2 linked regions of the Arabidopsis thaliana genome follow. Each later gene encodes a partner of the first gene's protein in a complex. Each region holds a gene or a part of one and is shown in the gene's direction. Other genes may lie near its edges. The genes, in order: NYE1 and NYC1.

Region 1 (4,685 bases):
GTTCCATCACTACTTTCAGCTGCGGAAGGCGTTGGATTAGAGGCTGCAGAACTGTCTCAATGAAGATTTTCTCGCGGTCAAAGACATCGATACTCGGATCTGTGACCTCCCCATGAACCTAATCAAAACATTCCTCAGACAAGACAAAGACAAAAATACAAGTCTATGTGGTGTATGATTTATTTACCAGCAAAGGCATGTTTTGTTTGACCATCTCTTCTAGTACCGGTAAGCATTTTCCAAAGAGATCCGTGACACCATCTTGAGAGTTGGTTGTTGCTCCGGCAGGGTACAGCTTCACCGCATAAACCACACCACTTTCCCCTAATAACAAGATCATATATGCATAAACTGAACATTAGCAAGTAGAATCTCAATCAGAAAGATGAAAATGTATCTGATTAGTTTGCAACAAGATGGAGAAAGCACAGGTACTTACTTGCAAGCCTGATCTCTTCAGGTAGAGTTTTGTCAGTCAAATAAAGTGTCATAAGTGGATCAAAGCTACTCTCAGATGGCAAAGCTTTCATGATAAATTTCCGGTAAATAATGGCAGCTGCAGTGGAGGTGACAGGAGGCTTCAGATTCGGCATCACAATCGCTCTCTTAAAATTACTCGCACTGCACATAATTACATACACCATTAACCATCATGTACAGCACAAGCATCAACGCCAGCACAAGATTGTGATTGAGGAATTCATACATAACAAACAATGGTTCCACAAGAAACACCAATAGCAAACAAAAAAGTGGCTGCAAAACAAAGTAAAGCAAGGAAAGAAAAGAAAGATTGCAGGATGTTTATAAGACCTGTGGGGAACAACAGCATGAAGAAGATCACCGTCACGGAGATGAAGATGCCAATCATCAGGTTGAGTGATTGTGAGCTCCATTCTTACTGCTCTCGTCTTCACTTTCTCAGAAGATCTGTCAAACTTCAACTTCTGAGATCCAAATCCCTACATAAAGAATAAAATAGTTGACTTTAACAGACGCATAGGAGGAATTAAATAAAATTAAAACTGGATCACGTGGATTGAACTAAACAAGAATAAGACTCAAAGAGTGGTGGAGGTAGAGTACATACACTATAAGGAGAGACCAAAGTCTTTATCATCTGAAAGCTGCTCAAGGCTTTGCAAGAATTCACCTGTTCCAAAGCAAATGACAAGTAGACTCAGATTCTATAACATGACCTTAAAAAATTGACTCTGTTCTAAAGTATTAGCAGGCACTAAAACTATTCAATCATCATCAAAAGATTTCGCATTCCTTTGGTTCAATGTTTCTCCAAACGAAATTTAGTATCCAGATTAATCAAATTTCTATACACACAAATGGGTATCAGCAAAATCCAAAGAAATCAAATTATCCAAACAATAAACCACAAAATGGCGAAACTGGTAAACACCTAGAAACCAAAATCGAAAACTTGAACTTGTTTAGGTAAGCAATACGAACCTGGATAAACGAAATGCACAACAGGGATGCTTACAACACAAACAAAACGAACCCCAAAAAGAGTGATTTGAGGAAGAGATTGAAGGAGAAAGAAGAAGAAAAAACAGTACTCGTGTTTTGTTGTTTACAAGATACGACGTCGCTTAACGTAAAAGAAGAAGAAAAAAATAAAAGCTCTGTAACAGGCCAGCCCAATTTTAGCCCGATATTTTTAATGGACCTGGACCTGATCACAAATTTCAGCCCTTTTTAACATCCTTATGGATCAACATGGGACTCTCTGACTCCTCCGGTTCCATCAATACCTGCGTTTGTTGTCCTTGTTCACGACGATTCAAGCGAAGAAGCCTCTCGAGTTTCACAGGTCTAATAACTAAACCGAGTAATCGAGTCGAATGACATTAAATTGAACCGAAACTAAACCGTATTGCTTTAGGTTCGACTGACAACTACAGTACGTGAGTTAGGTTCGGTTAGAGCCGAATCTGTGTCTCTTTGTCGCAACGAGATGGCTAAAGTTATCCAAAAAGACGGTTAGAGCCAGTTGTTAGCCCCACCATGACGACACATGGGGAAGCTCATGCAAAGATTAGAGAACACGTGGCACTCTCTCGTGTTCAGAAAAATTCCAAAAGAGTGTTCAGATTTGGGCACGGAAGTGTGAAACGTGAAGCAACAATCCCTTTTAAACACAAGAACCAACTCAATACGCATCACAAAGAACCCTAAATTCCTGGAAGATCTCAAAAGGAAAATTCAAAACCAAAGCTTCAAGCAATCATCAAGCAAAGGAAAAGCTCAAATTTTGGGTCTTTTATATATTTATTTCTTAAAGTTACAATCTTTTTGATTGTGGTTTCAGTGTACGAACACGCAAGAACTCGCGTGAAAAAATTGTATCCAAGCTTCGTGAAAGGAGTCTCTCTGTATTTAGTGGCGTTTTGTTCTGTTGTTATTTCTGAAATATTGAAGCTTTTGATTTGGGTTTCAAGAGAGCAGAGATGTGTAGTTTGTCGGCGATTATGTTGTTACCAACGAAGCTGAAACCAGCTTATTCAGACAAACGGAGTAACAGTAGCAGCAGCAGCTCACTCTTCTTCAACAATAGAAGATCCAAGAAGAAGAACCAATCGATTGTTCCCGTAAGGATTTGTTCTCTTAATCATTTTGACATATCTTTGTTTTATGTGTCTCAGTTATGGATATATCTATGCCTCTGTCTTTATTGATGGAACTTGAAACTTTTGGGATCGGTGCAGGTTGCAAGGTTGTTTGGACCGGCGATTTTCGAATCATCCAAATTGAAAGTACTCTTCTTAGGGGTTGATGAGAAGAAGCATCCTTCAACGCTCCCTAGGACTTACACACTCACTCACAGTGACATTACAGCTAAACTAACCTTAGCTATTTCTCAATCCATAAACAACTCTCAGGTAAAAACACCTCTCTCTCTGGTCTTAACATATCTACATGGCTCTGTTTATAGGAGTAGAATGTTTATGTATTTGATTATTTGGAGCAAATATTAGAGGCTTATGTATGATTGTTTTAACCTATGTATGTGTCTATATTCACCAGAATCTCTTAACACTTTAGAGGCTGATATGTATAGAAATGTTTTTTATAGTTGCAAGGATGGGCAAATAGGCTATACCGGGATGAAGTTGTGGCAGAATGGAAGAAAGTGAAAGGGAAAATGTCGCTTCACGTTCATTGTCACATAAGCGGTGGCCATTTCCTTTTAGATCTCTTTGCAAAGTTTCGATATTTCATCTTTTGCAAAGAACTACCTGTGGTAAGTTCCCAAATTCATAAGAAACTTTTTATTGGTTTCATGTAAAACAAAATGTTTATTGTTTTGATATATACAGGTGTTGAAGGCTTTTGTGCATGGAGATGGGAACTTGTTGAACAACTATCCTGAGCTACAAGAAGCTCTTGTTTGGGTCTATTTCCATTCTAATGTCAATGAGTTCAACAAAGTCGAGTGTTGGGGTCCGCTTTGGGAAGCTGTTTCGCCTGATGGTCACAAGACTGAGACTCTTCCCGAGGCTCGGTGTGCGGACGAGTGTAGTTGTTGTTTTCCAACCGTTAGCTCGATTCCATGGTCTCATAGTCTTAGTAATGAAGGTGTAAATGGTTACTCTGGGACTCAGACTGAGGGAATTGCTACTCCAAATCCGGAGAAACTCTAGTGACTAAATATCAAATTACAAGTTTTTCTTTTGGTAGTTTGTACAAAGTGAAAAGGAAATGGCAGGACTTTCCTTTTGGTGGATCTAAATATTGGTTTGGTTTGGTGTACATAATGTGGTATAGGAAAATAATGATTATTTGTAGGTTAAATACAGATTTTAAAGTTTCAAATGGTATTTTGTGTCTACTCTGAAGTCTTTATCATAGTTGTATACTTGTATTGTATCTCATCCACAAGATCAAAATGTAAATTTCTTACAGATTAGCTAATATTAAAGGTGACAGACTGGTATAGTACTACTGCAATGCAAACATAAAGATGAATAAATTGTTGTTTAATGAACATATATATTTTAATATATCAAAACATTCATGAGAATCATCACCAATTTAAAGTTATACTAATATCCCAAATAAGAATAGTTTAGAAATATGAAGATATTCATGAGAATCATCACCAAAGTAACAATAGACGTATATTAAGGACCGAATTCGTCGGTGTAACGGTGAGAAACTAAGGAGAAACGTGAAGGTAAAGAGATGGCAAAAGACTTTGTCTCTCTGGTGGTTTTGCAAAGCGTATCAGCCACTTCTTGCTCCTAATGATTCCAAATTATTTTCTTGGATTTATTTGGTCTCTTTCTTCAATATCTTTTTCATTTTATAACCAAATCAAGATGACTTTTTTTCTCTGACCCCATTCGTCTATCTAATTTACGACCAAATACACCAAATACAGAAAGAGAAGAAGAACAAGTAATATAAGAGAATGGTAACGAATTATTGCATTATTATCATGGGCTTATTTTATAAAATGTTGTGTTCGTAAGTAAATAAATACAAAAGAAACTATATTTTGATATATGAAGAAAAATTGAATAAAGATATACACTTTGGAAAATTTTGGGGGAAAATGTTGTGCATCTTGATGGAAACCCAAAGATCGTGATTAAATCAAAAGGGTTAGATCTTGTTGCATCCGTGTGTAAAAGAATTTAATGACTCTCTGCTCCCGTGTGAAAAAA
Region 2 (5,109 bases), 4.3 Mb from region 1:
GTTAATCGTCTGTAGTATAATGGGCTTTCTAAACCCATTCCAACTCTCATTTAGTATGATATTGTCCTCTTTGGGCTTATATGCTCAAGCCCGCAAGGATTTGTTATTGGGTTCCTTCCCAAAAGGTCTCATACTAGTTGGAGTTGGACTTGGCTTATATATTAGAAACTCTTTTTCTAAACTTTCGATGTGGGACCTTTGGTTTGTACCCAACAATCTCCCCTTCAAACCAAAGACCACGAACTTGGACCTCCTTCTTGAGGCACCTTCTTATCGTGTCATGTTTGAGAGATTTTCCCACATCGATCATAGCCCAAGCCCTAGGTCCAGTGTTTCAACCTGGCTCTGATACCATTTAATGGGCTTTCAAAGCCCATTCCAACTCTCATTTAGTATGATATTGTCCTCTTTGGGCTTATATGCTCAAGCCCACAAAGATTTGTTATTGGGTTCCTTCCCAAAAGGCCTCATACTAGTTGGAGTTGGACTTGGCTTATATATTAGAAACTCTTTTTCTAAACTTTCGATGTGGGACCTTTGGTTTGTATCCAACATAGTATTTATGGATCGAATTCCATTGGAAGAGAAGTAATTCAAACAAGTCTGTCAGAAGAGAGTAAAACTAGGACAAATCAATAAAAGAGGGGGAAAGGGTTGTTATTGTGTCACAGTTGTAAGTAAGTGAAGCAAGTAAATAGTAAGTGATCAATAAGAGACAAAAGTTGGACATTCAAGGGATCGTAGGGGTTCAATGATCTTCATGATCTAATCATGTTTATTTCCATGTTTTCGAGCATATAAAACACATAAAATTCAGCTACTGAGGAAAAATATATAAACGCATATATACATATGTACACGTCCACATACTTTCACGTTTAGGTTTTCGTTATTAGGGAAGTTGGACTTTTAATAGGTTTACTGATATTTGGGTCTCACGTAAAGCAGACCGGCTCTTTGGAGGTGCATGAGGCGCATTTGTTCTAGATCCAAATTTTTTTTGGTAAATTTAAGGATCTGATTAGTATGGAAAAGACCTACAATTTTTTTTTTTTTAGTATGAAAATGTCAATTTTAATGTGTTTTTAAAAAATTAGCATAAAAAGGGTCCAAATTTTTGTTTTATAGTTTAGAAAAAGATTAATTTTTAAAATTTGTACAGGGACTATAAATTTATTGAGTTGGTAGAGACAAAAAGCTTAAAGTTTACACAAAGGAGAAAATTATCATAAACACAAACATTATCAACTTTTCTTTGTTTGATATTAAATTTTTAATTTATAATTTTTTATTGTTCTAAAATAATATAAATAAGTAAGTGGTAGTTTGACAATAATCTCTATCATCTACTCAAATGTGACAATGGATACTACAATAATTTACTCAGGTACATAAGTAATGACGAAGTCTGAGTAAAATGTAATTTGAAATCAAATTTTGGCTTTCTAGAAGCAAAACTGAATCAAAATTTTGTTCATGTGAACCAAAATCTAAAGTAGCTCCCAAAGAGAGAAAAAAATATCTTGAAAACATGCGAAGGGACAAAAGAAACACAAAATGACACGTGTCAATGTTAGGCTAACGAGATGAGGTTGCTGTAACGTGTGGCCATCACACTTCTCTTCCTTCTTTCTTTCCCTCACCTCTTTCTTTCTTCGTCCTAATCTCCTTCTTCTTCCTCCGATCACTCTATTTAACGTCTTCGACGAATCCGAAGCTGAAAAATATCTAACAATCTATCTTTTGGGTCCCTAAAAAAGCTCCTTCGTTTATCTTGTTTTCTAAGTTATCTTTTTGTATGAGTTTCAAAGCTTATCATTATCTCACTCTTCTTCCATAGCTATGACTACTTTAACGAAGATTCAAGTGTACCCACAAGTCTTGGAGCACCGTCTCTTCTTCAGAGATCCGATACGGGTCGGGTCAAGATTGACTTGTAGAGAACGTAGTAATAGGGTTTATGTGCATCGGTGTGAGAAAAAAGTTGAAAGAAAGAGAAAAGTTGAGAAATTTAAGGGAAATGGGTCGTGGGATTCTTTGAAATCTGGGTTTTTAGGGTTTAGTAAATTAGGGTTCTTGTCTAAAGATGAGTATAATCAGAAAGTTGAAAACTTGGAGATGGTTTTCTCTTCGGTTAGTCTTAAAGTTTCCTCTTTTTTTCTTAATGAAATTTTCAATCTTTTTGCTTTGATTAGCTTAATTTTTATGTGTTTGTGATTTTGTAGGTTGCTGTTCAAATTGCGAGATACATTGTGACGATGACAAGTACTGGAGCTATTCTTTTGATTGGGTTTCAATTATCAGGTTAGTGCAAAAACTATTGTAGAAGAGTTTTTTTATTGGTAATTTTGTTTGACTGAGATTTTGAGTGTATGTATTTGTGATGAAAGGTGGAGATAGTTCGATGAACTCATTGGTTTGGTATAGTTGGCTTGGTGGAATTATCATTGGAACCATGACTGGTGCTAACATGGTTTTGGAAGATCATTATCGAGCCGGTCCACGGAATGTTGTTATAACCGGAAGGTACCTTCTTTACTTTTGTTTTTGCATTTTTTGATTTTTGTTTCTTTGTGTTTTGGTTTGATGCTGATGTATGTTTTTATGCTGTGTTTTAGCACTAGGGGACTAGGGAAAGCTCTTGCTAGAGAGTTTCTTCTCTCTGGAGACAGAGTCATTGTCACATCTCGCAGGTTGATAAATTGTATATATGGAATTATGGATTAGTTTTTATCAAGCAATGAAGTCTTAATATGATTTGTTTTTTGGTTTTTGTTTGTGAAATCAGTTCTGAATCTGTTGATATGACTGTCAAAGAGCTAGAGCAAAATCTCAAAGAGATTATGAGTAACGCTAGCGAGTCAGCTAGAAAGAAACTGAGTGATGCTAAGGTAGTTGGTATTGCCTGTGATGTTTGCAAACCCGAAGACGTTGAGAAGCTGTCGAATTTCGCTGTAAAAGAGCTTGGTTCCATCAACATATGGGTAAAGAAACATATTTCTTTTTGTACAGTTTGTAACTTTTTTTGTATCTTTAGTCATATGTTTGCTCACTGTCTATATTCATTTGGATAGATAAACAATGCTGGTACTAACAAAGGTTTTAGACCGCTACTCGAGTTCACGGAAGAAGATATCACACAGGTAAAATCCTTTTTGAACCTAAAGCTTAATTTCAGCTTGAGCTTATGGTGAAGTTCATTAGTCTAATTGTAACTATTATTTTGTAGATTGTCTCCACAAATTTGATTGGATCAATTCTATGTACACGAGGGGCTATGGATGTGATGAGCAGACAGCACAGTGGTGGACACATCTTTAACATGGATGGTGCTGGCTCTGGAGGTTCAAGTACTCCTCTCACTGCCGTGTAAGAACTCAAATCATTCGTTACTAGTCTCTAATGAATTAGAACACATTTCTGAGTCTGTGAGCTTTCGCAGATATGGTTCAACAAAATGTGGACTTAGGCAGTTTCATGGGTCTATAGTGAAAGAAAGCCAAAAAACAAACGTTGGCCTTCACACTGCATCCCCTGGCATGGTTCTGACAGAACTTCTTCTCAGGTATGCATACACTTTGTCACTAAGGCCTAGAACAGAATGCTCCGGAGTTTTATTGAAGCAACCATTTATTTGGCAGTGGTTCGAGCATTAAAAACAAGCAGATGTTTAACATAATCTGTGAGCTTCCTGAGACAGTAGCTAGAACTTTGGTACCACGAATGCGAGTTGTGAAAGGTTCGGGAAAAGCCGTCAATTACCTAACTCCTCCTCGGATATTGTTAGCTATTGTCACTTCCTGGCTAAGGAGAGGCCGATGGTTTGATGACCAAGTAAGTGTTACACTTGAGTTCTAGTTCAAGTTTTTTGACAAATCCTTCACTTGGTTAAGCCTGAGCTGACGCAAAGATGTGTACGTGTTTGCAGGGACGGGCGTTATATGCAGCAGAAGCAGATAGACTAAGGAACTGGGCAGAGAACAGGACGAGGTTGTCGTTAACAGACGCGATGGAGATGTATACAGAGAATACTTGGGTCTCTGTTTTCTCTCTTTCTGTTGTTTGCGCTTTCATCATCTTACAAAGCACAACACCTAGCTCTTTTCCAGGCACATAACAAACATCTTCCTCGGATGTGTTTTAAGAAAATTGTAAACGTACATGTTATGTATAAAAAACATATATATAACAGAACCGATTTGTTCATGTAAACACTTCTTATAGTTGTAGAATGTGTCGTTGTTGAAAACAATGAAAAAATAGATTGTAATAAACTTTTATCAGATTGTAGTATTTTCTAGTTTTCACTAGTTGGGCCTTTAAAGGCCCATTAAGCGGAGTTAAAAAAACACAGCTCCAATAACATTGCATCAATAAAAAAAGTGGAGGGCCATCAGATAGGAGCGAAAGACTGTGCTACTGAATAGTAATCATGGAGATCATTTGAACTATGCATTATTAATCATCACTTGACCCTTTTTTCCAAATAAACAAAAACAAACCAAAGATTGTTTGGCCTCATAGAGAAGATTAGATTTTATCAACAAGGATTAATTCAGACATATGCTTGTCTATTTTTTTGATTAAATCATTGGCCAAAAAAATCGATTAGAAGAAAGATTGAAAAACAAAAGTCAAAAAGTAGGACTCAGAATATGGGTGGTGATATAACAGAATGGTCGGCAAATAGGCTTTTTACGGCCGTTTTTACGACGAACGAGACCTTAAATATCAATCGTCACTGTCCGGAAGAAAAAAAAAAACAATTTTGTAATACGACAATAACAAAAGTAAGGGTTGGAGAAAGTATAAGGATTTGATTACGAGAGCAATTTGTAGCTTGAGAGATGATAAGCTTCTCTCTCTCTTTGGGTTTTTATACAGAAAATAAATATGGAGCGCTAGGGTTTTCTCACTCGTTAAGATTCTGACACGTGTCCACTGTTACATCTGACGGTGCTCAACATCACACACCGCTACGGACGTTGTTGGGCTTATCATAGTTTGGGCTTTACCAGGGCTTACTATCAAATTAGAAATCGTTCATGTAGCCGAGTTTGGATTTAAGTTAAAAACTGGATTTGGGTTAAACCGTTAAAACCGGCCGAA

The links.
Region 2: NYE1 (region 1) and NYC1 share a complex: the UniProt entries of both Arabidopsis thaliana proteins name them as parts of the SGR1-CCE-LHCII complex.

The regions. Positions count from the first base shown.
Region 1 is NC_003075.7:12,015,750-12,020,434, reverse strand, and holds NYE1 (non-yellowing 1), read left to right. Parts: upstream 1-1,791; 5' UTR 1,792-1,828; intron 1,829-1,900; 5' UTR 1,901-2,465; coding exon 2,466-2,606; intron 2,607-2,723; coding exon 2,724-2,897; intron 2,898-3,091; coding exon 3,092-3,259; intron 3,260-3,335; coding exon 3,336-3,659; 3' UTR 3,660-3,972; downstream 3,973-4,685. Other genes in the region: PYR4 (pyrimidin 4), read right to left, coding at 1-118, 188-324, 440-621, 814-962, 1,091-1,120. UniProt on the Arabidopsis thaliana protein: Magnesium chelatase involved in chlorophyll a degradation in the chlorophyll-protein complexes of photosystem I (PSI) and photosystem II (PSII). Contributes to the degradation of PSI and PSII in the thylakoid membranes.
Region 2 is NC_003075.7:7,683,425-7,688,533, reverse strand, and holds NYC1 (NAD(P)-binding Rossmann-fold superfamily protein), read left to right. Parts: upstream 1-1,527; 5' UTR 1,528-1,842; coding exon 1,843-2,133; intron 2,134-2,225; coding exon 2,226-2,304; intron 2,305-2,390; coding exon 2,391-2,526; intron 2,527-2,618; coding exon 2,619-2,693; intron 2,694-2,788; coding exon 2,789-2,984; intron 2,985-3,074; coding exon 3,075-3,143; intron 3,144-3,229; coding exon 3,230-3,369; intron 3,370-3,442; coding exon 3,443-3,565; intron 3,566-3,641; coding exon 3,642-3,834; intron 3,835-3,928; coding exon 3,929-4,117; 3' UTR 4,118-4,300; downstream 4,301-5,109. UniProt on the Arabidopsis thaliana protein: Involved in chlorophyll b degradation. Belongs to the chlorophyll catabolic enzymes (CCEs).